Linked DNA regions of Mus musculus. The protein of the gene in region 1 interacts with the protein of each later gene in a pairwise test. Links are inferred from orthologs where the notes say so. Each region holds a gene or a part of one and is shown on either strand. Other genes may lie near its edges.

Region 1 (4,253 bases):
TTCTTTGGGTAAAAGAGGCCTCTGTAACTGCACAGGAATAAGAGAACTCACTACAAAACAAAGGTAGCTACTTCCTGCCAACTTCTTACATTTTACCAGCTCAGCTGTAGCTGCAGCCTCAACCCCTAACGCTATCACCAATTCCTAACATTAATGCTGACTTTATTTCCTATTTCCCTATACATTGACATTCACCCCTTTCCCAGAAGACACCCATACTAATCTGGCTTTTATTTTTAGGCCCAAATCCCCCAAATTTAACCCTAAATACTCCCTCCCACCCCACCCTGCAGTTCTAAAGCTCATTTGTAACTTGGTTCTTAATTAACCTTTTCACTGTTTATTCTTAATACTGACCATGACACCGGCCTTTAATCCCTAAAACGGGCATCTAAGCCAATTCCTGTTGATCCTTAACCCGATCCTGTACTCTGACTTAATGCTGGTCATTGCAGAAAATAATGACCTCAGTTTAAATGTCACATATGCGAAACAGACTTGACTCGTGCAGCAAATGTTTAGAATGTAGTTCACCTTCTTAACTTCTAAAGGGATCCTTGCTTCCTAAACGCGACGGCACCTAACCCAAACTCACCCCAAGTTTTCCTAACCACTTACTCACTATCGGCTAATACCAAAGCCCATCCCCGCCCAGTGCCTCACTGCCACCCAGTGCCTCACTGCCACCCCATTTCTACCCGTCCCCAAACCTAGCCGAGACAGAGAACTGTCTACCCCCGCGAAAGGGCCTGCTTCTCGCAACAAGGCCAGCTTAATTCCAAATCCAAACCGAAACATACTGGACCCTGACCTCCCTAACCAGACACAGGATATGCAGGAGGATTGGGGGCCCCGCCCGCCGCTTCCCGGGCTGGCCCGATCCCGCAGCCCCACCTAGAAGCTCGGCCCAGCCCGTCCGGCCTACCTGCGCTGCCCGGCTCTGCGCCCCGCCCTGGGCCCGCTACCCGCTCCTTCTCCCGGTCGCTTTTGGGGCTCCGGCCTCGCCCTCCCTTCGACACACTCTCGGCCACTTCCGTCCTGGAAACGTCCCCCACCCGCCGGCGGCGCCCTGGGCCCGCGCTCTATGGTAGCGGAGACTGCAGGAAGCTGCTCTGGCCGTAGTTCTCGATGCTCGGGCGCCCGCGAAGCCTGGCCGCCCCTCCCCAGCAGGAAGCGAGCGTGCAGAGCTCTGGAGAGAACGCCCGAACTAAGCTGGAGTTCCCTTTTAAACGCTTAAGTTTTTTTTTTTAATAGCTCGAGGCGAAGGCGGACAAGGATCCTCAGAATCCCCGCCCTGGGGCGTGGGAAGCTTGAAAGGACGTCCCCATAATTTGCATAGCCCCCGGGACGTGGCGCAGCCCAGGAGCCACTTCCGAGTTGGAGAGAACTCCAAGTCCCAGGATTCCACGGGGCTATGTGCACCACTTCCGTTGTGTTGGAAGCTGAGGAATACAGAAGCTGAGAGACGGGTGCGGTTTAGAGTGACAGCTAGGCCCTTGTCCCGGAGTGACGGAGGTTAAGTCGAGCCGACTGGACAGACTGAGGGGTCGTGCCTGAGGTTCGGAGGTTGGATCTGCGCGGAGGGATTTCTATCCATAGATATCCCAAATGGATCCTGGTGGTCAGGATCTGCTAGCTTTGGATCCCGGTGATCAGGACCTGCTGGGCTTCCTGCTAGAGGAAAGCGGAGATTTGTGGGCTGCGACTGAGCCGGACGTGAAGGCTCCGCTGGACTTAGAGCTGTCACCTTCCGAGGTGGGTGGGTGGGTGTTCCCAGTGGGGGAAGCTAGGGATGTCCGCGAGACCCAAGGTACGGAAATAAATCAAGGCCTTTGAATTTGATAGAACTCCGTGCAAGAACTGAGCGACTGGGAGGTAGAGGATTTACTGAGCTCTCTGCTCAGTCCCTCAGTATCGCGGGATGTTCTCGGCTCTTCCAGCTCTTCCATTCTCCATGATCACAACTACTCCCTTCCACAGGAGCACGTCTCCATAGATCTAGGTGAGTGTGAAATGATAAGTTGTGGGGGAGGAGAGAGCTCACTGGGCTAGCTGGTTCTACTTTCCCTTTTGCAGATACTGAGAGCTTCGAAAAGGAGGGGTTCCACGTGACTCCACTGCCAGGGGAGGAAAGAGCAGCGGAACAGGTGCTGGACTTGATTTTTTTTTTCAGGATTACCTCACTTTGCAGCAGCCAAGATCCCCCATACTGCTCTGAGAGCTCCATGCAACTCTGCTCTCTTCACTATTTCCTCCATCCTTAGGAGATGTCTAGGCTGATACTGACCGAGGAAGAGAAGAAGCTCTTGGAGAAGGAGGGGCTCACTCTGCCCTCAACCCTTCCTCTCACTAAGGTAAGGCTCCTGTTGGTAGAGCAAAGGCTGGAGGGGGTTGGTAACCCAAGTAGGCAAGCTCAGTTTGTTTCATATCAATCACTTGCAAAAGGACAAACCAACTCCTACAAGTTCTCTCATCTCCAAACACACACCCACGTCAAAAGATAATGTTTTAAATGTAACTTTAGTACAGAGCCTTGAAAGTGAAGGGCCTTGATAGCTTCCGTTGTTATCTTGGGACCTCGAATCATACTCAGTGGTAGAAATGCTTGAGAGGCTGACTCAGTCTAACAACATCAACAATCGTCAAAGCTGGACATGATGGTGCACCCCTCTATAACCCTAGCACTCTGGAGGCAGGAGCAGGAAGGTCTTCACAAGTTCAAAGTCACTTCCCACGTGCTGGGATTACAAGAATACTGCATCTAGTTTTTGTGGCAAATTTTTTTAATGTCATTTGCCTTTTTAATATTGTCTTACTTCTGATATGTAGATATTTACTTATTTGGGGCAGGTGGATCAGCATTAACGGACAGACTTAGCTTCATGTTGAGTTCAGGCAAGCTTGGGCTATGTGAGAAACCATCCCCTATCCCTCTATCACTATTACAAGATGAATGAGCAATATATTGGGAGGAAAGGAAACGGAACTTGGAAATTATCAATAGTGGTTCTGTCCCTAGGATAGTAACTGTCTTGTCTTCCTTTACACTGGCCAGAGCATGCCATAATTCCCCTACCCACTGGGATTGGAGTACAGTACCTCATGAATGTTCATCAATGCTCACTGCTGAGCCACGCCCTCTGGCCCTTGTTGTTAAGGCAGGGTCTTGTAAACCCAGGCTGGGCTGGCCTCAAACTATGTAGTAGGGAAAGAATGCCTTTGAATTCCTGATTCTCCTGCTTCTAACTCCCTCGGACTAGATTACAAGTGTATGATGTCACTCTTGGCTAGTGTCCAAGTTTGACAGGCATTATCAGAGAATGTAAGAGTTAACTTTATTCAGTTTTAGTTTCTGAAAGAAAAAAAGTTGAAAGTACCTTAAGATAAGGATATATTCTATATCACTTTAGAGACTCTAGGAAAATCAAATGAATGGAAATTATAAGAAGATTGATGTTGCTTTAGGATAAGGGTAGATGTTGTTGTTGTTAGTTTTGAGACATGGTCTTATGTAGCTCAGTCTGTCCTCAAAAACTACCCTAGCCAAGGATGGTCTTGAAATCCTGACTTCCTTCTTCTGCCTCCCAAGTGCTGATACTACAGGCATGTACAACCACACCTAGCTTAAGTGGAATTTTTAAAATTAATTAGAGACTGGAAAGATGATTCCGTGGTTTAGAGTACTTTCTGCTTTTCCATGGGGCATGAGTTCAAGTCCCAGCTCCCACATGGCAGCTTACAATCCGAGGAGATCTGACACCCTCTTCTAGCCTATGTGGGCACTAGGCACACCCATTATACATATACGTTATACAGACATGCAGGCAAAACACCCAAACACATAAAAAATAATAAAAAGTCTGGCTTTCTAGTGTTGAATATCTGCTCCTTGGTGTTCACACAGAAGGTAAATGCCTACTGACAGAGAGGCTGTGGAGAGTATTTGATTGGGAAGAAGGTTAGCTGTCTTCCAACATACCTATGTAGTATATATAGGTATAACATACAGGCATATAATAACATACTGTGGGTGACCTTTCCCCCATCTTCTCTTAGGTGGAGGAACAAGTTCTGAAACGAGTGCGGAGGAAGATTCGTAACAAGAGAGCAGCTCAAGAAAGCCGCAAGAAGAAGAAGGTGTATGTCGTGGGGCTGGAGAGCAGGTAAGCAAGGATGGACACGGGGGAAGCCTGGAGGGTCTTGAAGGGAGGAGACACAATATTTTGAAATCCACGTGTCCTCACATCCATGTT
Region 2 (3,772 bases), on another chromosome or scaffold:
ATGAGCCGATCCTGTCCACATACAACACTGCGTGAACTAAGAAAAGACAAGGATTAAGCCACATCTTTATTTGTGTGTGTCTATCTCTGTGTATCTGGGGTGTACACATATGTGTGCATGCAAAGGCCAGAGGGTATCAGGTGTCAGCTTCTTATCACACTGTCTTATTTCCTAGGAACAGGACCTCTCCCTGAACCCGATGCTCTCTTGTTTCTCTGCGAGGCTGCCTGACTAGCTGGCCACGGGGATCCTCCCGACTCCCGGTCCCCTCTCAGCACTGGGGTGGCAGGGTCCATTGACACATTCGGCTTTTATATGAGTGCTAGAGAGTCAAACTCAAGCCTTTACGCTTGAGCAGTGAGCGATCCCAACCACTGAGTCATCTCCCCAGGTCAAGCCCTACCCTTACAACCAACATCGAGCAATCCAGAACCAGCCCAGATAACTATACTTCACAACAGCCCCCAGGTGACGGCTTATAATGCAACCGAGACAAATTACTAAAATAAAGAAATATTTTATTTTACTTTCTCGGGTACAAAGTCCAAGGAAATACATATTTGTAGAAATTAAAAATAACACCAAAACAGGGATAAAACTAGAAGTCGCATGGAATCTGCAGAGTGTGATTTGGGGGCCTCCTCGGTTTGCCAAGACAGGTTTAGCCCATGTAACAATTTCTGTGCTATCTGTCCAGGAGAGAGTTGTCACACAATCATGAAGCTCACACAGCTGGAACAGGTGGAAACGAGAATAGTTCACAAAGCAAAACAGACAACATTACTAATTGGCACAGACTAGCTGTTGACCTTAGAATACCCGTGAACTAGAGTAAAAAAAACCCTTAGCACCTCAAACATCCCTAGTCGTTACTTGTTCATCCATTTATGCGTGCATACATTCAATGAGTATTTATTAAGCACCTATTGCATGCCACAAGGCACTGTGTTCCACTATGGGTAAAGGCACGTGGTCGGGTCTCCAGTGGAAGCGAAGAGAGCCAAGTGCATTCTGGGAAGGCATCAACCAAGGCTCCCGCTCAAAGCAAAGAACAGCATGCATTCAGTCCGCCCCAGCTTCCACAGGAAATGTATCGACTCCTCTCTCACTCATCAGAATGACAGCCACTGTCTTTCTGTTCCAGTGTTACAATGGGCATGTTCGGTACTGTGAAAAGTTACAGGGGACTCAGAAATGGACGTTGGTTGCCACCACTGCACACTGAGGAAGAAGACACAGGATGTCATGGCAGAAGTGCCTGCTGAGCAGCACCCTTCACTTAGCAGCCAAAGGAGGCACTGCTGTGTGCCCCTTCATCGCCAGGTACCCTTTCACTAAGGCTGTCCAAATGGTCTCTGTCCTTGGAACGTGCCCTTGGGGCAGCTCCTACTGGCCCAGACTGGGGGGTCTTGTTATCCACTTCTTCCTCCACAACAGCTGGCGTTTCTTTGCCATTGGTGAACTGCATGAAAGGTAGAGTCTCCAGGCCTTGCTTCGGAAAGGGCCTGACTCCCTTATAGTGGCCCACAGGCATTGATAGGAGCAGATAAACAGCAGCCCACATCTGGAAGTTTCTATGAGCGCTCTCCTTTCTCCCTGACTTGGATCTGCATTCTCTTTGGCTTACAGGGAAACTGAGAAGTGAATTGAACTTGTGCTGCCCGGTCACAGAGAAGGGCAGTTTGATCATTTCTAAGCTGGCCTGATGAGCCCATCCTACCTGGAATTAGTTCCCGGGCCCACCATTAACAGCGGCAGTAAAGCTGTGGGTCCCTTGGAGAAGTAAATGAGGGGGCTAAATTTTCGAACCGAGGTCTTCCACATTCGCTGGTTAATGTGCACTGTAAATGGTTTTGAGTCCTTCACTATAAAAGCATTTGTTTAATGCACTGAAAATTCAGAGTGCTTTAAAGTGTTCGTTTATTACCTAAATCTATACCATTAGGGTATATAATCACTATGAATTGAATTGTATAAGTGCTCTTGTGATGAAAATGTATGCAGGTCACTGTATTTAAAAAATGAAATTTTAAAGTGAATATGCCCTGATTTGGCTTCTTTAATAAAAAGTACTAAACTTAACATTTTTTTCTCTTAGTGTATTTTCATAAATCATTATTACATAAAAAGTCTAAAGAATCTATACAAGAATAATCCTCCCCTTTCTGCAATGCCTCGTCTTCTTTGCATATGAATTTGTTCATAAAAGATTGTTTTAGAAAATATAAAAATATTGCTACAGTGTCGTTGGTGCTATCCATCCTCCAGGGAAACATACCTTTGTAAATTGAACTACTAGGAACTCTTAATGAAATTCAAGTCCCGGATGTGCCACAGATAAAGTCCCCATCAGGGTGACATCCAAGCCCGTCCGTCCTCTGTCCACTTCCAGAAACTGTCTGCGACACTCCCTGAATGAGACAGGATTCTCGATCTTTCAAAAGTCGTCATTGATTTCTGTGGATATCCTTAGAGTGACACTCTACAGAGGCAGTGGGAAGGGGAACATCAAAGATGGAAACAATTCCAGCATTAAGTATGCCATTCTCAGACGCTTTCTCCCACCTAACAGGGGACTCCCACTACCGTGCCTTGCTTGGACTGAGTCCTGAAGGATTCTCTTGGCTTTATCATTTTAGCCAGTAATTCACTTGTTCTAGGAGGTGAGAATCTTTCTGGGGTTGAATATCCTGTCTTACCTTCCCTGGGTCTTAGGAATGTTTTTCAACAACATAATTTTTTTTCATGATCATATTTTCTGGTCTTTGGAACTAGTGAGGGCTACCTGAACACAGCCTGGACTTTGAGCATTGAATGGCAAATAACATGAAAGTTTCAATGGTGAAGTGACCTGTGTGCCTAATGTGGCCACTTTTGAAAGCAAGCTAATAATGTTATGTAGCACACGACACCCAAACATATTATAAGGGTAAAAAAGGAATGTTTCTCAAAAATCAAGAACTTCTCTAAATTTTCACTAATCCTAATCACCAGGGATTCCTATAACATTTGAATTGATTAAGTCCTTACCTGGAAATCTTGGATGAATGTTAGGAAATAGAAAATAAAACCAAAAGCCACGGTCCACTCACAGATGGCGCTCACCACGTGATATATATAATCCTAATAGCAACAGTAAAGATACAGGAGTTAGTCAAAACGACCTCATCGGAGCAACATCACCTGGAATACGAGATAATCAGACCAGAAGACAAAACTGTCCAATGAACACAAACTGTAACCTTGAGGGAATCTCAGATGCAAATCCTTGCAGCCCAGAGGTCAGAGACTAAGTCAGCGGTTGATAGGAATTCAAGCAGTGCCAAAGTTCTCTATAGCTCTCACTTCTAGTTTGAAGACTTGAGCTACAGGGAACTTCAAAAGGAAAATTAAGGACCACACAATGACTGAGACCACAAGGTAAATTTGGACCGCAGTGAAGAAAGGGTTTGGTTTTGTTTCCCTGCCCTGGGAACTCCATAGTTGAAGGAGTCGCTGAAGTGTCTAGAGGGTACTCCCTCCCAGGGATCGTCCTAGAATGAACGTGTGCACACCCATAAGACCAGCTTGGCACCCCGATAGGTTTTTATGCCTCTCTGTTACTGTGGGTATTGATTCTGCAGAGTGCTGATTCGCACAATAAGGCAAATACAGCAGCAGAGCAAATGCCAGAAGCAAGAGACCCATCATGCTTCCGATGGCTCTGGAGACAAAGGATGCCAGGAGCCAGCCGCGTCTGGAGTTGAGAAACGATGAAGCAGGTGGAGGTTGA
Region 3 (4,300 bases), on another chromosome or scaffold:
GTACATCATGGCCCATGCGCACACCACACACACACACACACACACACACACACACACACACACAGAGAGAGAGAGAGAGAGAGAGAGAGAGAGAGAGAGAGAGAGAGAGAGGAGGAGGAAATCAAAGTAATGTTTTCTTAAAACTGATGAACAATGTAGACCTGAGACATTGAAAGTCATTGAGTCTGAACTTTAGAAGGCCCCACTGAGTGACCCTGAGCTGCTGGGCTGTATCTCTGGAGCTTCAGCTTCTTCAGTCAGCTATTTCATCTGTCAAACCAGAAAACTAGCACCCTCCTCTTCCACTTTTATCTGTGTCCCTATGACCTAACACTCTGAACAAAACTAACTTGGAGGGGTGGGGGAAGAAGGAAGGAAGGGCTTCCTTATTTGGCTTACACTTCTAGGTCAGAGGCCTTCCTTGAGGGAAGTCAGGGCAGGACCTCAAGGAGGAATCTGAAGCAGAATTTATGACGGAATGCTGTTAGCTAGCTTTCACACTGGCTCATGCTGAACCAGTTTTCTTATAGCCCAGGACTACCCGTCCAGGAATGATATCCCCAACAGTAGCCTGGATCCTCCCTTATCAATAGATAATCAAGACAATCCCTTACAAACATACCCACAGATCAACCTGATACAGTTACTCAACTGAGACTCTTGTCAGGTGATTTTTTGCTGTCTCAAGTTGACAGTTCATGCTAACTAGGGCAGCTCCTTCTACCCTTAATAATTAGCTGCATTGATGTGTTACACAGTTGCACATAGCAGCAATAGGTACAAAACATATGCTTTGGAAAGTGTATGGACTTAAATAAGAACAAAAGTCAGAACTATTATCACACAACTTAAGATGGGGACACAAAAATTTTAAGTATATAGACCATGTGCTTGTGCTAACCAGTCCTTACTGAATGAACGTCACTAACTGACCATTCATGTTGAAACACATTTCAACCTATTCTCTAGAGTCAGAGACTGATGAACATGCTAGGGAAGGGTTTGAGGTTTTGTCCTCTCTCTTCTCAGTAAAGTGCTACCATTCCAGTATTTCTAGAACGCTCTTCAGGTTCTCTACCCTCACCCCATTCTATCAGTTATTGAAATTTTCCTATTTAGACACCTACAACGCCAAATTACAAGGAAGTCTGGCACATCTACATACGTCTGACTAACAAGGAAGTCACTAGGACACTGAAGCCTATTCTTTACAAAGCAGGTGCTACGCAAATGTAAGATTCTGATACCTGGTATGGATTTGGCGTGTTCTCAACTGTTCTCTAGGGCTCTCAGGGCCTAAACGGAGCATATGGTATTAACATTGTTTCACATAAATGGAGCATATGACATTAAGATTGTTTCACAGCGTCTCTGGGCTCAAACACTTTTTCCCCCCTGGAGAATGTCTCAATCTTTGGGGATGTACTGGGCCTGACTAACTTGAGGTAAGTATTTCTAATTCTCCTGCCCAGGCTCTGCCCTGGAGAATCATACAGAAAGTTCCTGATTATGGCTTCTTGCACTGGCCTTCAGGCATTACCTTCCGATTTTCACTCATCTGTGGTCTTATTTCATACAAACAGAAGGTGCCAACTTAGACTCCAGGGTACTCATAAAATAAGGCATTGCCACACAGTGTTTTCAGGAATCACAGTGGACCAAGAGTAATGTTTTCGAGCTTTGAATTCTACTAAAGTCAGAACTTGAGCCCAAGAGGGATGGGGGTGGAGTGGGGTGAGAAAAACCAGGCTAAAACAATGCGTCCAGAAAATTGAGTGTGCCCAGTAAAACTCAAGTAAACCTTTGGAGTTGATGAGAAGACAGGTGGCTCAGCATTCAAACTCTCTGATGTTTTACAAGTATTTGATCTGTGAGTAATGTTATGATATCAGAGAAGGGTTCAACCTACACACCCTTAAGGACTTCCTCAGAGATGAAAAGACAGTGAGGCTAGTTCTTAGGTAGAACTTAGAAAGTATTTCCCTTGTACTAAGCTGGCAAGTTCACAACAGTTCACAACCCTCAGTCTGGACGCAGCAGCTCTTTCCTCCTCGTGTTCTTTGCCTGCTTTTCTTCTGGAGGAAGCAGTGGCCAAAGTGGGAGATAACAAAATGTGTTTGAAGGTGGGGGGAGGGCGCGGAGGACATAGGGCTGGTTAAAGGTAGGAGACAGTGGATTGCACGCCCCTAGAGGTGGTGGTGGGGTGCTGGAAGGGAGAAAGGGGAGAGAGAGAAAGCGGAGAAGCGAACGGGGAGAGAGACAATATGATTCAATCCATCACTCTATTTTTATTTGGGAAAGAAAAACAAGTTAAAAGTTACATAATTTTCAAACAGCACCTCTACCTCTAAGGCTTTGCTCTCCATTGAAAGGAGCAGCCACGCCCCTCTACAGGATTCCTGAAGTCTCTAGGCGAGGTCCGAGTCTCATAATGGAGGGGTCTGATCTAAGAAATTCCAAAAGTTCTTGCTTTCTTTAACCTCCCCTTCTTTGCGTGTCCTGGGCGCTGGAAGGACGCTTTGGAGCCTTTAAGTGGTGCCAGGCCCCTTCCCTGCTGTCACGCCAGAACCCTAAGTCCTTACCTGGGCTGGGCTAGGGTCCTCAGCGGAGTTAGGCTGGATCCGAAGGTCATTGTTGAGAGGTGTCAGCTCTTCCTGAGGCCCGTCCAGCATCGAGAGCTCCAGCTCTTCCCGGGGCGATTGGGATCTGGACCCTTCTTCCATGGCAGCGCCGAAGACGGAGGCTCCGCTGAGAGGCAAGACTCTAGCACCTAAGGGTGCAGAGTCCAGCACAGGGAGACTACTCAGCTCACACTCCACCCACCAGGCGCGGCAGGTAGACCTCGGGCGGCGCCAGATAGGCCTGCGGTGGCGGACCTGGAGGGGAGGGGCGAAGCCAGAGAGAGTGGAAGCACTCCGGCTTTGGTTAGCTGACCTTGCTCAGGAAAGGTAGATGCAAGTGGGACCGGCTGTTTTTCAGGTTTGTTCAGGGTGCTAGCTGCAATGCCTTTCCGTGTGGATGCAGACCGCAGAAGCTCACAGGGCCTGATTGCAAGCTGGACTGTGGCAAGGAAGGGATAGGCAGGGTTGGGTGGGGAGGGTGTTGGGGGACGGGGGAGGGTGCGGTTCCGGAAACTTTCCAGCCTTCTACCTGGACCAGTGTGATGCTGAAACTTACTCCAGTACTCACTGTCTAGCGAGGGCTCATCTACCAAATCAACAAACAGCTATGAATCATCTTCCGTGTGCCAGGCAGCATGCTTGATTCCGAACACACGAAGATGAATAATACACAGCCCCGAAGTAATTTTCATACACTACCTCTACCTCTATGGCTTTGCTCTCCATTGAAAGGAGCAGCCACGCCCCTCCTGATTCAGGCACAGGGGCAGTATCAGTATCCCTTAGACTAGTAAGGGCAATCGGCACTGTGTGAGTTCTTCATACGCTTGTGTTTCTCAGCACAGAAGACAGTGACTCGCAGAAGCAAAAATTCATAAACATTACTGATTTACTGATTATTGTTTATCTTTGAGAGGAGGGGTCATGAACACCGCACCTGAAGAAAAGGCCCATGTGTCAGGAAGCATACAATGCCTTCCACACCCCATGCACAGCTCAGAACTGGCTTAGTGAGCCGGGAATTACGTTTGCAAAGCAAAGTGTGTATTGGGTATTGGTCCAAAGATCTTGCCTCTAGCTAAACCTTCTTTTCAGAACCACCATCCTCTCCCCATTTCCTTCCTCTCACATAGATAGTTATTAAGACCAGTTTGAGGATTCCAGAAATATTTGGAAATATCTCTTTTCTTTGCAGTGCTAGGGGCTCAGCCCAGGTATATGGCCCTACCCCTGGGTTTTATCACCAGTCACCAGAGAGATGCTGTTATTGTGATGTTTATCCTTAATCCCAAAGAAAGTGTTTTTAGAAAATTGAACTAAGTACTATGAACTGGAAATACTCATTATCACAGGGTAGTCATAATTTGCCAATCACTTTTACTAATTTGGAAAATAACATTTCCTGTTCTCTGTCCTTTCAATTCTACTTTCTCTACAGTTCTGTGCAGTGCTCTGAGTCCTGTTTAATATAGTGTTACTATTTCTCCTTTGAAATTCTTTTTCATCCCATTTTACTTGTTTGGTGCTACGGTTAACTCTGCCCTCTGACAGGAAAAATACGGTTCTAATATGGAGTGAGACACTCTCTAAATTAAGATAAATCAAGAACTGGGATGGGCTGAGCAAGTACTATAGACTTACAGCTATTCAAACCATGCATTACGAGGCTTTGAGAACAA
Region 4 (4,254 bases), on another chromosome or scaffold:
CAGCCTGGTGGTAGTAGTGGTTGGTGCATGCTTTTAAACCCAGCACTAGGGAGGCTGGGGCTGGCACATCTCTGTGAGTTCCAGAAAAGCCAGGGCTACACAGAGAAGCCCTGTCTTGAAAAAGCAAACGAACAAATAAACAAACCCCTCCAAATAATGAATTCTTGCTATATTGCCCGGAACCTACCCAACTTCCTAGTCTCCCCAGCGGCAGGCCGTTCAGGGATTGAGTCACTGTGCTAGCCTCCCATTTGATCAGCCTGTTGCCTTGGGGATCTTGCAGGCTAAATATTTTCACTCACCCCCTCCCCTGGGCCCCTAAGTCCCCATCTGACCTCAAACTGGCCTCCTTCCTCCACCTTGTCTACTGTTTACAGAACGCATCTGCTGACCGGTCAGGTCTTTCTGGACTGTGAGACCCCTTGTCACTGCCTCTCTTCTCTCAGTCTCAATTTTCTGCAAATTCATCTGCAAAATGTATTGGCAGAGAGGCTTCAAGGTCCCCTGCCCCCAACTCCAGGTTGTGACAATCCCTGATGGCTAATGGCCAAAGATCAGGGTTCAATTTGCTTCTGGGCTTGGAGGTGACAGAAGGACCACAGAACTGGAAAGATCTGAGTGGCAGGATTGGAAGGCCTCTAAGATTAAATTCTGCCGAGGACCTTCTAACATGTGGGGGGAGGGGCTGCCTTCCCGTGTCAGGAGAAGATTTAAGGAACCCCAAATATCACCACCCCTCTCCTGACAGGAGAGGGAAGAGTCCAGCTGACTACTTGACAAAGCACGCAGTAGGAGGCACCTGCCCCAGATTCTGACCTCTGCTATCCCGAGAGGAGCTGACTTGGGATAAACAAGTTTTGTTGTTGTATAGATAGTGGTTACTTTGTAATTCGGCCAGTGCTCCATCTTTACTCACCTCGGAGCCCCTGCTCCAGGGCACTGGAGACTGAACTCCTCCCACTTCACCTGTAATTCTAGATTTCACCTCCTACCGATCCTCTCCTTCACCCTAAGTCTTCGCCAAAAGGAGGGCTGGGAGAGCTCCCTATACACCGGGAGAGAAGAGAGAGGGGAAAGGGGGAGATTTGGAGGTGCAGTGCGGAACTTGTAGCAGGCGGGAGCAAAGGGAAGCCACAGAAGCACCAAGCCTTTAGGAGTACTATGAGGACCAAGTAGACAGCCCTTGCTAAGGTTTGGCCGCGGCGATGGCAGAGGCGGCGTCTGCGGAAAGCACACTCGCAGACGCACTGGCGGGGACACAGTAGCAGGTCTACAGGCGACAGAGGAATGTCTGCAAGCTAACGACTTTAAAACAGGGGTTCTGTAGCTACTTATTGGGACCGGGGATTTGGAGCCCCGGAGGGAGGAGTTAAAGGGGCGGGACGGGGAGGGCGCGGCCACCTATCAGGGTCCAGCCCGCCGCTCACAATAACCCGCCTCCAGCCAGCGCCCCCGACTCCGCCACCGGCGTCCCAGCCGAGAGGGTGTTCGGGCAGTTCGCCCGCCGCTACGCCAGCTCAGCTTGGCAGGTAAGCGTCTTGCAGCCCTAGCCCAAGTTGCTGGAAAGTTGGGGACCCGTGCCCAAATCCCTCGGTGGCCCCGGCTCTGAAACGTCCCCTCTGCGTCTGACACCCCAGAAGGTGCTAGTCTGGTCCGCGTGTCTCGCTGTGCGTCCATGCACTGGGGTGGCCCTTGTGTCCTGGTTCTAGGGCGCGCTGAGCAAGTGGCCTTCGTTGTCGCTGTGCCCTGGTTGTCGAAAACTTAGGGGGAGCAGCTTGAGACCAGGGCGCGGCACTGCCACAGTAGGGCGGCCAGGCTGAGCCCGGGCCGCAGGCGGAAGATGGCGTCGGCACCTGTCTCCGCGAGGACCGGAGAGTTCGCATCTGTCCCTCCCTCGGGGATCCTGGGATTCGCACCGTCCCTGCCGCGACCTGGTAATTCACACCTGTTCCCGACAGAATCCAGCTTCGCATCTGTCCTCTCTGGGACCCGGGGATATAGGTCTTCGAGGGGCAGCAGAAGGGCCTTCTTAGGCGACCTGGGTAGTTCAGACCATCATTTCCCCGAAGCTCCTAGCCACCTGCCTGCGCCCAGGCGCAGGGACTGGGAGTGCATCCGAGGGGCCGGCAAGGTCGCCGGTGTACCAGCCACAACCAGCACTGGGGGTTCAATACTTGTGTCACTTTTCCACCTTGTGGCCTTCAGGATGCGGATGCAGGTTGTTTTATAAACTTAATTGCTGTTCTGAAGTGTACTGAACCACCCCTACAAAGTGTTGTTTATTGTTGTTGGCGTTGATGCAGGTGATAACACTGTTACAGGGGTTTGGAGCCAGCTGCAGCTCTCAAGAAGGCTGGTCTCCTACCTACTTTGGGGGATGGGGGAGTTGTCAGTGAACCTTAATTTTAACCTCAGGGAAGCAGGCCTCATTTCAGATAGGCTTATGTCCCAACAGCTACATAGAGCTGGCTCCTTCAAAGCCTGGAGGGCTTTCTTAGAGGCCACACCAACCTCTCTACCTGTGACCTACTTTCTGTTCTGACTGTGTAGCTTTCTACAGGCTCCTCCACCATTCTGGACCTCAGTTTGTTGAGTTTGTAAACTGCGTTGTGGTTTAGCCTGGTGGGGAGGGACCTTTCCCAAGAAGTGGCTGAGTAGCTCGGCAATGCTACCTTGATTTCCACTAGGTTGGGGCATGTTTACTGTTGCTCCTTTACAAGTATACACCTAAGGGTCACCTGGGGTCCTTGGCTGCTTTTGGATCTAGTGTCCTGCCTAGGGCAGGTGGCACTCGTGACCTCCCAGCCTTGCCCCTCCCCACATCTCTCACTCCACCCTGCCAATTTTCTCCCCTCTATACTCCAGGATTTGAGACTTTCTTTGTTTTGTTTTGAGGCAAAGTTTCATGTAGCCTAGGCTGGCCCCCAGCTCACTATGTAGCTGAGGATGGTCTTGAAACTCCTGATTCTCTTACCTTCACCACCTGAGTTCTAGGATTCCAGGTATAGTTACTGTATCCAGGTTATTTGTAGCTGGGGATGGAACTCACAGCTCTGTGTATACTACCATTGTTTTCTTAAGTAAGGCCTCACTATGTAGCAGAGGCTAGCCTCGCATTCTCAATCCTTCGGTTTGCTTCCCTAGTGCTGACTTTTAGTCTGCTTTCTGTTGCTAATAAGATACAGTGCATTGGGTTGGGTTATAAAGAAGTAAAATTTATTCTGGCTTGTGATTCATGTGGGGTTGAGGGCCATCTTGGGTGACTCCCTTTTGTTGGCAGAAGACATACATTGTACATTTTACCCACCTCTCAAAGGTCCGGCCTCTAAACCCCACAGTGAGGTTGAGTTTCCCCTTTAAATACCTCACAAGGGGATTAAATGTCAACACCCCAATCTTTGGAGACCCCCAGGTCATATCTAACTACAGCGCCTCCCCTTCAAAGTCACAGAGCTGCTGTTTCTCAGTTGTTCCTCCAGAGTTAGGTTTTAAAGGTTGTCTGTGCTTTGCTCTTTTTCTATTTCGGAGACAGGGTCTCACACTTTATAGCCCAGGCTGTCTTTGAACTCTCAATTCTCCTGCCTCTGAGATCCTGGGGTTATGGGTCTTTATTGCTTATTTTTTAACTTTCTTAACTCAAAATGTGCACCTTTGCCAGAGGATGCTGGCTCTCATCCCGAGCTGGAAAACGCAGTGTGTCATTTTTCAACTTGGTGACAGGCTCATTTAACTTATCTTCTAAGCTGAACCCTAGTTAGCATTTTAAAGTTAGCTAGATCTGTTTTGTTTCCAGATCTGGGGATGGGACCCTGGGCTTTGTGTATTTTAAGCAACAGGGGGCCAAGAAGCAAGCAGGCCGCCTGGCTTACTTGGGGCATGGGATGCTGAAGGCTCAGTAAAGGGTCTAGGTAAGAGCCCAACACCACCAGAAGGAAGGAAGAGGATGGGGTCCACCTCCCAGAGGAGCCCAGACAACTCTAGTACTTCCTCCTCAGGCTCAAACATTCCAGAGCATATGAAGAACGTAGAAGCTGAAAGGGGAGGAGGTAGCTTGCTACTCTGGCCTTCTGTGATGGAGCTACTCTCCTGTCACAGTTGATCCTTTTTTGTAGCACTGGGAGGTTTATAAGGGGTCATCGGAGTGATACATCCCTGGCCTTTCATCTTCTGATGTCTTTGCTCAGTTGACATTTCTCTGACAACCCCTCCATGTCCACCCTTCCTGACATCTCACCCATTATTTGTTCTGTCCTA
Region 5 (3,500 bases), on another chromosome or scaffold:
ATCAGGATAAAGAGCACAGCAGAGGATTTGGTCATCGTGTACCTGGGGCAGAGCAGATACCCACAATGCATGGCGGCAGGCCCACCCGAGGGCAACCAGGTCTCCGAGACTGGAAGGAGCCAGCCAGTGGGGTCTGCGTGGATATGTCACCTTTTGTGGGAAGAAGTCTCTAAGAGCCCTGACTGTTACTGGAGGGTGAACTGGGGGTTTAACACCAAGCTGACTCGGTCTGTTCTTTACCTGGTTGGTGGTAGAGACCAGGTAAGAATGAGAGAAACCTGGACAAGGAGAAGTGAGGGGCTGCACTCTCTGACGTGAGACATCAGGGCTGTGACTGCAGACAGGTGATCTCTGACCCTCACCCGCTCCCCTGCCTGGTCCTCCTACCTGCTGCCTGCCTCCTCCCATCCCCATCCCCCACCCACCCTGCCAAGAACTTGCAGCATCTCTGTCCAATCCCTTGGCTTCCCCTTGCTGCCTGGCCAGCAGGTGCAGCCTATCTCTCTGCACTGGGCTTAGCAGAGCTGCCTGGAGTGCTGCCAGGTGCTCGGGAGGGGCCGAGAGAGAGAGAGAGAGAGAGAGAGAGAGAGAGAGAGAGAGAGAGAGAGAGAGAGAGAGGGGGGGGGGGGCTGGTCCCTGGGGGTGGCGGAGGAGCTGGTCCACTGCTGGCTGTGCAGCCTGCCAGCTGGAAGGAGCGAGTAAGCTTGGCCTGAAGGGGGCAGAGGGTGTGGTCAGTACTCACAGGGACACAGTGATGTAGAGGAAGCTCCAGTTGGACAGGCCCACGTCAAGTGCTGTTGCCAGTGCTGTGGGGACAGGGACACCCAGGCAGGGCAGCCAGTTGGCAAGCATAAGGCTTAGACACCTAAGGCCCTGTTTGTCTTCCCTTCCACTAAGCAATTCAAGGCCAACCCCTAGCCAAAGGCTGTCCTGCTTAGCGCTGGAGCCCATCCTGACTGGCTAGGCCTGTTAGTCTCCTCTGCGAGAGAATCTAAACAGTTCCATGCAAGAGGATTAACCCGATCCTGCCAAATGGCTCGAGGGGCACCTGGCCCTCCACTGGCCCAGCCTGCTAACCCTCCTTCTTCCTTTCCCCCTCCAGCCGAGCTCTCAGCTCCCTTTCCGACCTCACATCCCCAGGGTCAGAGGTCCCCATCCACTCTTCAAGTCCTGCCCACTCAACACTAGTCCTAGGAAATCTTTTAGCCCAACTTAGCATGGTTACAGGGTGAGGCTCCCCCATTCTGCGTCTGGTGGAGCCCGCTTGAGGCCCATGTGAGCCAGCACGGACAAGGGCAACTGCCAGACAAGGGCAACTGCCGGCTTTGCTGAGACCTGGCCGTGGGAGAGAGGTGGGGAGGAGAGGAGGTAGGTAGCGTGTGGCCACAAGGGCCTCTGCTTTCTATCCTAGGCTCTCCAGCAGCCCTCCCCACACTGGACCTACCTGTGGGGGCCACTCTTCTGAGGTAGTCCGTCCAGCTCAGCACCACCCGGGCCTTGTGGCTGGAGCATTGAACCAGTGCCCTGGACAGGGCGGAGAAGAGGAAGATGACGGCCAGGTGCAGCATGGTCATGAAGAGCGGAAAGTGGAAGCTCTGTGAAGCCCAAAGACGACAGCAGGAGTGGAGAGATGCCACATTCCCCTCTATCTCCTCCCTATGGTGGCAGGGGCCAATCCTGTGCCCTGCATGACCCCTTGGAACAAGTGGCTGGTCCCCACTGTGGAGGTCACACAGAGAAGTGGCAGCCCAGGGACTCACTTCCTGTCCAATTTCATCACCGCCACCCCTGCTAGCCACCTGTTTATCCCGCCCGGGACCAGCGTCCAGGAAAAGCCACCATCACCCAATACAGCTGTACCAACTACAGCCACCTTAGTGCCGGTCCCTGCACTGGCAAGGTCTGGTTACCTTTGTCAGCCATTTGTTGTAGAACGTGATGCCTATGGAGAAGCAGTAGTATAGAAGGACCAGGCCCAGGGTCAGAGCTGCCTTCCACACAAAGGCGACGTCCAGGGCCCACCTCCCCATCCGTGGGCCAGCAGGAACAGGAGCCTCTCTTGAAGGTGGCTGGCAGGGAGAACCAGCAGGACTCGACCACGGTTTTCAAAGGGCAGCTCCCCTGGCTGGAAGGATCCTCTCGGCCTCCATGATGGGGAATGGGCAGTGGGCCCTTGATGGAGTCCTCACCTAAGGGGCTGGTGGCCAGAGCCAAACGGTCCCATGGTTAGCTGGATGCAGCGGTCACAGGTCCCCAGCGCTACTGCTGGAGAGAAGAGAGGCAGGGTCTGGTGGTGTGGCTACAGACCAGCTCTGGTTGCCATGAGACTGCAGAGATCATGAGTCCCACCCCCATCCAGGTAGGTACTTGAGGCTCTAGTGTACATTCAAACTGTCTTCCACGTGTTCCCACTACATGGGACCTTTCAACAGCTGACTGAGGTCTCATCAGTCAGCTTGCTCCAGACCTTTAGCAGCTCCCAGCTGGCCTTCAAGGCCAAAGCCCTGCCTGGAGGTCCAAGGTCTAATCTGGTCTAGTCTGTCTCTGCCAGTTTGTTCCCAGAAGGGACGGAGGGAACACCACACCCAACCCACCTTTCCATCCCTGTCAATGCGGCCACTTCAGTACAAATTCTCTTCCTCCAGAGCCTTTTTTTGGTAGCAATCTCAAGGGGTGTGATTTGAGTAGATAGACCTTTTTTCTTTTTAGTGCTGTGGTCAGAACCCAGGGCCTGAGGCTTGGGGCCATGATCCCTGTGAGCCACACCCCGTCCCCTAGTGTAATGCTTATAAGGTTGCACTCCAAGAGGGCTGCATGCACACCTGGCCTTCTCTATGTTCCCGTTTAGTCTGATGACTCTCTGACAGAGAGCATGTATGGGATTTCAGGTCTTTAGGACCTCAGGTGGATCAGCCATACCTTGCCCTGGTCTCCAACGGCTACTCCCAGAGAGGGGGTGCTTGCCAAACCAGACTACCTCTTGTCAGTCAGCCCAGCAACACCACTGAGTGCCCAGGGCAAGCCTGGCTCTGCATGGGTGGGCCCTGGCCCACTGTTAGACATCTGCTTCTTCGGGGGTACTACAGGTGCTTCCTCCCCACCAAGCTGAGATGCCAGCTCTCTGGGAACCTTCCAGAACCCTGAGCTTGGCCTCTTCCCCGATCAGGCTGGACAGACCACTCTGCACTCTGGAACCTGTTATCACATCTCCTCCCTGAGGGTAAACTGGGCTGGCTGTGGGCTTTGCCCAAAGGACTCCTGGACTGTGGCTATCTTTAGAGGACCTTAGAACCCTGAGTGGTGACCTGGAGGAGGCGCCCAGCGTTTAGTGAGCAGGGACTATAAAGGCTAAGAAGGATTCTGCATTCGGAATCTGAAAGTTACAAAGGCACAGGGCCGGCCACTGGTTTCAGCAACCGTTGTTTTCCAGGGCTCTGCCATACACTGAAACCGTTAAGAATACCACATGTGCTGCCCAAGTGGAAGAGTTCCCAGTCTGG
Region 6 (3,500 bases), about 91 Mb from region 1:
CACTTTCCTTCAGTAGCTGCCGAGATTCATGGCTTGCCTGGACTGTGGGTTTTTGTTTTGTTTGTTTTCCTTCTCCCAAATTCTAATAAAATAGCCTCAGATCTTCCTCCTGAGTCCAGCTCCAGGTTCTTTTATCAATGAGACCGACCCTGCCAAGGGAACCCCCCCCCCCCCCCGGACAACCCGGTCACGTGTTACATGGATCTTGTTCAATTTTTGGTTCAGACACAGAGACCCTGGATCATACAGGACACCCCCAAATCCCTTTCTGTGCCTCAGTGTCTCTCCAGCGGTGGTGTTAGGATGACATCAGTTCAGGACCCTGCCCAAACACCATCCTGGAAGAGAAGTGGGGCCTCATCTGCCGTGTCCCCATCCTGTGAGCTCAGAGAGGCTAAGGAGAGCCCCACCGTGGAGTGGTCCAGGCTGTGCCTTGCTGGAATCCCGGCTGCACACCGGACAGTTCTACCCACAGGTCCTGACCGTGTTTCCGAGGAGACGGTGTCTGGCTGGGGAGTCATTCCAAGGGGCCCTGGCACGCCTGGCAGTTCTTCATGTCCTCAGAGTACTTCTCAATCTGGATGGTCATGGTGTGGAAATTGAACTTCCCCTGGAGGCGGTCCCTAGCCACCTTCAGCACAGCCTGGGCATCAGCATTCTGGGCTGGGACGAGAGAAACACGGGATGCTTGGGCTCATGTCTACCCCTGGGGCACAGACTAGGGGACAAGAGACACTAGGGGGTGTCCCGCATCCAGCAAGCCTGAGAGCTGGAATCTGTCTCCCCCACCCAACAGCAAGTACAAGGACCTGACCACCCCAAGCAGGGCCTTAGTTCTCTCTCCCTATAAATGCAGTGGGGAGGATCAAAGAGCATTTAAACGCTCAGCATGTGGTCAGAGCTTGGCAAACCCTCCTGGACAGCCCCAGGCCTTGCGCTTCTTCCTTTACCTCTACTCACCAATGGCTATGTGGACAGACAGCACCGGCTGGGCCACTGTCAGCGCCCAGATATGCAGGCTATGCAGGGCTTCCACCCCATCCACGGACAGCAGGAGATTTTTCACGGTTGTGAAGTCCACGCCTTTGGGAGTCCCTGAGGACATCAAGAACAATGCTGAAGGTCGCTGCCCCCCCCCCGCCCCCAACCCCACCCCATTCCTCCAGGGCCATCTACTCAGAAGGCCTCCTCAGCCAGCAGTTTCCACGTGGTTCCCATCCCCCACTCTGTCCTGTTACAGGGGACAGCCCCTGGAATGGTTTAACTGATCTGTGTCTAGAACGGAAACTCTTGAGAGCAGAAGGCTGTCTTGCTCACAGCTAGAAGGTCAGTGCCCAGAGCAGAACCATGTTTCCATTTTCATTTTAATCTGTTTGCTTTTTAGACAGAGTCTTGCTATGTACACCGCCCCCCCAGGCTGGTCTTGGAAAGTTCTGCTTCAGCTGCTGGGGTTACAGATGTGACCCCACCAGGCGCAGCAAGGTCAGTCACATTGGATGCTTTGACTGCCTCGCCTTGGAGCCCCTGCCAATCAATCCTAGGCCTGAGCCCCACTCCTCCAACTGTCCCTGATCCCGGTGAACTGAGGTGGTTTCCGGAAGACCATTTACCACTTTGCAGCTGGGGCACAAACAGGATGCAGTCCGTGAGACCCGTGGGAAAGGGCTGAGCTGAGATAGATTCATCCAACAAGTACAAGGGCATATGTCTATTTCTAACACTCAGGAGGCCAAGGCATAGAGACCTGGTCTCAAAACCAAGGGCTTAGAGAGATTGGAACCACTTGCTGCTCTTCCAGAGGACCAAGGTTCGATTCCCACCACCCTTTGATCCTAGCAGTCAGACAGCAAAGGTAGGTGGATCTCTGTAAATTTGAGGCCAGTCTGGGCTACATAGTGAGTTCTGGAACAGCCAGGGGTACATATTAAGATCCTGTCTCAAAAATGAAGTAAAATCTTTTTAAAGAGTTGCTGGGTATGGTGGTGCATGCTTTCAGCCTGGCACTTGGGAGGCAAACTTTGAGGCCAACCTGGCACTGAGTTCCAGGCCAGCCAGGTCCTATTGCAAACTCTGCCCCCCAAAGAAAACCAAAGATCCTAAAATACACCCGAATCCCGGTCTTTCTGTGGAAAAACCACCTGATGACTGTTGGGGGAGGGGTGGCTGGAACTCCAGGTGTTACCAAGGCCTCTCAGTCTTGTGACCAGCCAAGGAAGACACATTCCAAACGGCAGAGGGAGGAGGCAGCCCTGGGCCTATGGGGCTAAGGGTGGGATAAGCACTGGCTACGACTCAGCTGGGAACTAGCTCCCCACTCTAGTGTGAGTTCTCCAAACATCCACACCATCCTTGAGGCTGATTAGACTTCGTGAGCCACAGGTTGAGGGAAAGCTCCCAAGTCGGGCTGGGGAGATACTTCAGCTGGTAACAACAGTGCTGGATACCTGTTAGATTCCCTCAGAACTCACACTAATCACACACACACACACACACACACTCACAAACACACACATTCACACACAAACAATAGTGCACATTTGTAATCCCAGACAGGCAGATTCCTCAGGACTTATTGACCAGTCAGCTTAGTCTAATTAGAGAGCTTCAGCTTTGGGGAGAAGGGTCAGTGGGTGAAATTAGGGCCTGAGTTCAGGTGCCCGGCACCAATGCAAAACCAACAAACCAACCAACCAACCAACAAACAAACAAACACACACCTCTTCAGTAACCCTAGAGCTGGGTGGGAGATGAAGGACAAGGAGACCCAGGTGGCTTGCAGGCCAGCCCAGCATTGAGAAAGCTCTAAGTTCAGTGAAAGACCCTAACTTGTAATTTAAAAACCAAAGTGAGGTGGGTATGGTAGCAGCTTCAATCCTAGCACGGCAGAGGCAAAGGCAGATGAACGTGTGCGTTCAAGGCCAGCTTGCTCTAAACAGTGAGACCCTATCTGAGATGGTTTGTTATATGCTCTGCTAGGCCCAGGGAGCAGCACTATTAGGAGGAGGTGTGGCCCTGTTAGAATAGGCGTGGCCTTTTAAGATCCTCATCCTAGCTGCCTGAAAGCCAGTTAAGTATTCCGCTAGCAGCCTTCAGATGAAGATGTAGAACTCTCAGCTCCTCCTGCGCCATGCCTGCCTGGATGCTGCCATGTTCTCGCCTTGATGATAATGGACTGAACCATTATCAGAGGAACCTCTAAGCCAGCCCCAATTAAATGTTGTCCTTATAAGAGTTGCCTTGGTCATTGTGTCTGTTCTCAGCAGTGAAACCCTAACTAAGACACTATCTTAAAAATCTGGGAGGGAAAAAAAAAGTCTGGGAGGGAGGTGAGCATACTGACAGAGCTTTAATGACAGCACTCGGGAGGCAGAGGCAGACGGATGGATGTCTGTGAATTTGAGGTCGGCCTGGTCTACAAAGTGAGTTCCAGGACAACAACCAAAGCTACACAGTGGGACCCTGGCTCAGAAACAAACAAACAAACAAACAAACAAACACCA
Region 7 (4,107 bases), on another chromosome or scaffold:
AAGTCAAACCGAATCTTGAAGGGAAGTTAGAACAACAGGAAAGGTGGAGTCTCAGGTATTAATCAGTGGGTGACTTTCCTATAGTTCCCTTCCCTCGGGGTATACAAAGTTTCTACAGTTCACAAGAGCTACACCTCTGCAATACCGTAATAAAGGCAGAGTATGTGCCATTCCTTCTCTCTGCGGGATTTGGAAACAGCTAAGCAACCAAGCTCTGCTCCTTATGCGGAAGGAAATGCAGCCTTCCCTTCTCGTGGCTGGCTTTAGAACCAAATTTCCCGTGTAAAGTCAGCAATAGAAGAATCCCAACCTCAAAGAATGATGGGGCAATGTTGAAGATTATATATATATATATATATATATATAATGTGTTTAGACAGTGGAATATCAAACCACTACCACCTGGAACACCAGACAAAAGACAGATAGCCACTGCACCCGTTTCTGAGTGTGCAAAGTTTTCACACACCGGGGAGATAGATGTATTCCAGTAATTCAGAATTCAACACCTCACCAGGACACACCATACAATCTGTAACTAACATTTCAACACAACTTGGCCTACCTAGCAGAATTAACTAGTAGTACCCCTCTCCTCAGGTAGTATACGTCCTCATTAGCATACTTTACTTTACAGACTTTTATTTTCAGCAATCCTCATTAAAAAAAAAGAAAAAAAGAACCCCAGGCTTCCTCATGGGACACTACTGACCGTTCAAGGTTGCCCAGTGGTCTTTTGGACTGGTAAGATTCACTACCTTCCAGTCATTATTATTTGGCTTGGGGAACAAAGGAATCAAATCCACCTCCAAAGGCTGCCCTGTACGTTTTAAGTTTTCCTCTTCCAACCCGAAACCCAGCACTGGGAGGGAGGGGAAGGGAAGCTGTCTCCCGGGGTGCTCGACCAAGACTCTGCCAGAGATGCCCAGCGAGCGTTGGGTGGATCCGAGGGCACTCACGGGGAGAACTCTGCTCGGAAGTCAAGGTTTGAATTTCCCAATCCTGAACGGATTTGCCTCAGCACACGTCAGTAGCTATGGCAGGGTTTCTCGAAGGGTCTTCTTTGCCCCTCCTTCTTCCGCCCCGCCTCATTCTTGGGGAATTTCAAGAGTTTCCAGGAGTGTTACAAGTGCATTTACCAGCACCGGGACTCCCTAGGTGTTTAGGGGACCTTCCCAGGGGCTCCACTCAGCCACCCGACGAGTTTAGGCAGAGAAACCGTGAAAAGGCGACTGGGAGGGCGCGGGGGACTTCAGACTGACAACTTTAATAAAGTCGCCCACTTGCTTTCTGACCGTCGGGCCGCGAGCCTGGCCTCCCCTCCCCCCCTCCGCAGCCAGCCGTCTGGACCGCGAAGCTGGGAGGCTGCGGGAAGCGCGAACGGAGCCCGTGATGATGCTAAGACTGGGCAGGAGGGGCCCGTGCCATCCTCTGCCCTAAAGCTTTCACTTCACAACGACTCGGCCTGGTCTGGTACAGAAAAAAAAGCCCTTCAATACAGACCCACCCTGATACTTCGGTGTGGATTTAGGCCGGTCAAAGTGCTTTACAGAATGTGTTACCAATTAAAAATAAAAGCTTTAAGACGGACCCCCTTCAAGCTGCACGTTAGCATCATTTTTGCTTAGTGCTTTGCACCCTCTGATGGCTCCAATTCAAAACTGTCCTAACAGCTCTGAAGTCACTACAAGTCCGGGCACGCAGGAGGAGTTGGGGGTGGAGAGGGGGCAGCTCTTTCTAAAAGCGCAGCTCTAAAAATCCCTTTTCCCCATTCCTTCTAGGAGCTCGCGTTCTAGCAGTTGATTTTGGAAAAGCAACCTGGCACACACTGTTTCTAAACGCCCGTTCTTCCTCTAACTCTCCGTAAGTCACCACCACCCATTCAAGATTTCTCGCGCCCGGAGTTGCCAGCGTGGAGTATTAAAAAAAAATGCTGGCTGTGCAGGCTAAGAGGTTCATCCCGTAGCATCGCACAGGCTTGCACAAAGTACCCACTGTTGGTCTAAAAACTCTAACCGCAGCACCCTGGTCTACGTATTTAGTGGCTTAGTCCTGAAAAGTCTAAGAGAGAACCACGTGGAAGTCAACTGCTGCCGCAGCGTCTCAACAAAGCACTCTGTTACAAAAGGAGTCTGCAGTTTCAAGGCAGTAGAACAGGCGACCGGATTTTCATAAGAAAAAAAAGAAGCGTGTAGTGTCCAGCACTATAGGAAGCAGGCTAAGCAAAGTTGACTGAGGTGCCCCCCCATCACCCCCACCCCCGCAACACCTTCTCCATTGGCGACTACAGAAAAGTGAAGTTAGGCTCCATAACAAAGAACTAAGTTTAGTAACTTGGTCCTTCCTTCACTCTAGTTGGAAAAAGTTTGAGCCTTTTACCTGTTGCACTCTCAGCGGAACTTTTTAAACAAACCCAAATCAAACTCAGCACGTGGAAATGACAAAGGCACTTTGAAGATCGTCGTTCTACTTACAGTATCCTAAGTCAAAGACGCAACGCATTTACAAAGCATAGAAGAGTTTCCCTTACAGAAAGAGACGCTACTAGGTAAAGTGGGTTTTTCTTTTTTTCAAAACTTACTCTTTCACTTAATGAAAGTGAAGCCGGCACGCCAAAGTGGTGGAACTCCTTGGAGGCTGAAGTCAAAGGAAAAGGAGAGTTCGGGCTCTCAGACCTGTCTGTTTAAAGTTTCAAAGTCTGCTGCTGTTGGGTACTTCCCTCACGCCTTTCCCCCAATGAAAGAAAAGTGCTGATACCTCGTAAAAGCGTTTTTTAACTTGGAGCACAGAGCTTTTAAAAGTTTCAAGCCACTGACTCAACTGGAAGGAGGGGCTAGGAGAAAGGGGAGGGAGGAAGAAAAGGCGGGGAGGAGGTGGAGTGGAGGCTGGCGAGCGTGGAGCTGAGCAGGCAGAAGAAGCAACCTGGTCAAGATAAAGTTGTAGTTTCAATGTGCTGACGAGAAGGGGAAAAAAAGTAAGAAATAGCTCTAGATGTACGTCAGCTACTGCGGGGCTGTGACTCCTCACAGATTAAAAAAAAAAACTGTTGGATGGGTCATTCCTTCAGGAGATGACCACGGGCAGTGAGAAGATGTCCCTTTTAGGTCACATTTCCTAAATAATAATGATAATAATAATAATATTACAATAAATAAAAATGGGGGGGGAGACAAGGTGAACTCGTGCAGACTTGTTCTGGGTTGCCCAAGGTGTGTGAAGCTTGAGGTGGGTGTGAGTGATCTTTCTTATGACCTAATTCTCTTCCTCTTAAACCCGGACAATTAACAAAGGAAAGAGGCGGTGGGCATGGGAAAGGCATTTCACAACCAGACCCGTGGAGTGGGATGTCTACTCTTCAGTTTCTCTGCTGCTTTAGGTAGTTTTCCTTATTCTTTTAATTAACAACAAGAAGATACATGTTCTATACTATGAATAAAAATAATATATCATGTATGTAACTCTTGTCTGAAACGTTGATAGGACCTCAACCCAATCTCCAAGGAAGTGAAGATCCATATCTTAGTCTTTTTTATGCCTACAATTTAACATTTAAATCGGCAGGGAGATGCCAGAATTGTCCCCCTCCTCCTCTTCCTTCTAACCGCTGCAGACCAGAGTTGCCAGACACAGCCTGTCTCAAAACTTCTTTCTCTCTTCCAATCCTGTCCCTCGGAAGCACTTTCAGGGAAGAGATGTGGGCCTGGTGACTGCCTGCCCACAGCTTCATGCCTCTCTCATCATACCTGATGGGGTTTATGAAAGCCTGAGTCATATGACCTCATTCCTAGGGTGGGCAGCTCCTTTGAGGGTTCCCAGATGCCCCCCACGAGGGCTTGTGATAGGGCGATAAACAGGCTTCAGCGGCGCTCCTGGAGTTAGGCCTTTGTATAGGCATCACCTGATGGAGCTGAACGTCTCACACTAATGTAAATAGCAGAACAAAGGATGGCGAAGACTTCCTGGGAAACATTTTCCTGCCGAAGCACCCTCTCACTAGGATGACTAAGGGAGTGCCATTTAAAACCTCACAGTTTAAGACCCCAGCATGTTCTCTTACTTTTGAGGTTCCTTTGTCTTTAACTTAAAGAAGGGAAGTAATGTTACAGA

What was found.
Region 2: the proteins of Creb3 (region 1) and Dram1 interact in a two-hybrid assay, tested with the Homo sapiens proteins (2 studies listed by BioGRID and IntAct). The two-hybrid records come from large-scale screens. The link is inferred for Mus musculus from reciprocal best matches to the Homo sapiens genes CREB3 and DRAM1.
Region 3: the proteins of Creb3 (region 1) and BC016579 interact in a two-hybrid assay, tested with the Homo sapiens proteins (2 studies listed by BioGRID and IntAct). The two-hybrid records come from large-scale screens. The link is inferred for Mus musculus from reciprocal best matches to the Homo sapiens genes CREB3 and C3orf52.
Region 4: the proteins of Creb3 (region 1) and Bik interact in a two-hybrid assay, tested with the Homo sapiens proteins (2 studies listed by BioGRID and IntAct). The two-hybrid records come from large-scale screens. The link is inferred for Mus musculus from reciprocal best matches to the Homo sapiens genes CREB3 and BIK.
Region 5: the proteins of Creb3 (region 1) and Slc35c2 interact in a two-hybrid assay, tested with the Homo sapiens proteins (2 studies listed by BioGRID and IntAct). The link is inferred for Mus musculus from reciprocal best matches to the Homo sapiens genes CREB3 and SLC35H1.
Region 6: the proteins of Creb3 (region 1) and Slc30a2 interact in binary tests that used the Homo sapiens proteins (3 or more experiments, as listed by UniProt). The two-hybrid records come from large-scale screens. The link is inferred for Mus musculus from reciprocal best matches to the Homo sapiens genes CREB3 and SLC30A2.
Region 7: the proteins of Creb3 (region 1) and Gja1 interact in binary tests that used the Homo sapiens proteins (3 or more experiments, as listed by UniProt). The two-hybrid records come from large-scale screens. The link is inferred for Mus musculus from reciprocal best matches to the Homo sapiens genes CREB3 and GJA1.

What each region holds. Positions count from the first base shown.
Region 1 is NC_000070.6:43,561,205-43,565,457, forward strand, and holds the start of Creb3 (cyclic AMP-responsive element-binding protein 3), read left to right. Parts: upstream 1-1,453; 5' UTR 1,454-1,608; coding exon 1,609-1,755; intron 1,756-1,845; coding exon 1,846-2,002; intron 2,003-2,076; coding exon 2,077-2,147; intron 2,148-2,264; coding exon 2,265-2,354; intron 2,355-4,056; coding exon 4,057-4,163; intron 4,164-4,253. UniProt on the Homo sapiens protein: Endoplasmic reticulum (ER)-bound sequence-specific transcription factor that directly binds DNA and activates transcription. Plays a role in the unfolded protein response (UPR), promoting cell survival versus ER stress-induced apoptotic cell death.
Region 2 is NC_000076.6:88,322,304-88,326,075, forward strand, and holds the end of Dram1 (DNA damage-regulated autophagy modulator protein 1), read right to left. Parts: intron 3,124-3,772; coding exon 3,031-3,123; intron 2,483-3,030; coding exon 2,438-2,482; 3' UTR 501-2,437; downstream 1-500. UniProt on the Homo sapiens protein: Lysosomal modulator of autophagy that plays a central role in p53/TP53-mediated apoptosis. Not involved in p73/TP73-mediated autophagy.
Region 3 is NC_000082.6:45,651,319-45,655,618, forward strand, and holds the start of BC016579 (TPA-induced transmembrane protein homolog), read right to left. Parts: upstream 2,801-4,300; 5' UTR 2,724-2,800; coding exon 2,583-2,723; intron 1-2,582. UniProt on the Homo sapiens protein: Has a role in LIPH-mediated synthesis of 2-acyl lysophosphatidic acid (LPA). LPA is a bioactive lipid mediator involved in different biological processes, and necessary to promote hair formation and growth.
Region 4 is NC_000081.6:83,525,408-83,529,661, forward strand, and holds the start of Bik (bcl-2-interacting killer), read left to right. Parts: upstream 1-1,454; 5' UTR 1,455-1,529; intron 1,530-1,709; exon of another isoform or gene 1,710-1,840; coding exon of another isoform or gene 1,841-1,934; intron 1,935-4,254.
Region 5 is NC_000068.7:165,281,339-165,284,838, forward strand, and holds part of Slc35c2 (solute carrier family 35 member C2), read right to left. Parts: intron 2,945-3,500; exon of another isoform or gene 2,920-2,944; intron 2,266-2,919; 5' UTR 2,031-2,265; coding exon 1,911-2,030; intron 1,596-1,910; coding exon 1,445-1,595; intron 807-1,444; coding exon 743-806; intron 43-742; coding exon 1-42.
Region 6 is NC_000070.6:134,349,546-134,353,045, reverse strand, and holds part of Slc30a2 (zinc transporter 2), read right to left. Parts: intron 1,096-3,500; coding exon 961-1,095; intron 664-960; coding exon 518-663; 3' UTR 1-517.
Region 7 is NC_000076.6:56,375,993-56,380,099, reverse strand, and holds the start of Gja1 (gap junction alpha-1 protein), read right to left. Parts: upstream 2,801-4,107; 5' UTR 2,582-2,800; intron 1-2,581. UniProt on the Homo sapiens protein: Gap junction protein that acts as a regulator of bladder capacity. A gap junction consists of a cluster of closely packed pairs of transmembrane channels, the connexons, through which materials of low MW diffuse from one cell to a neighboring cell.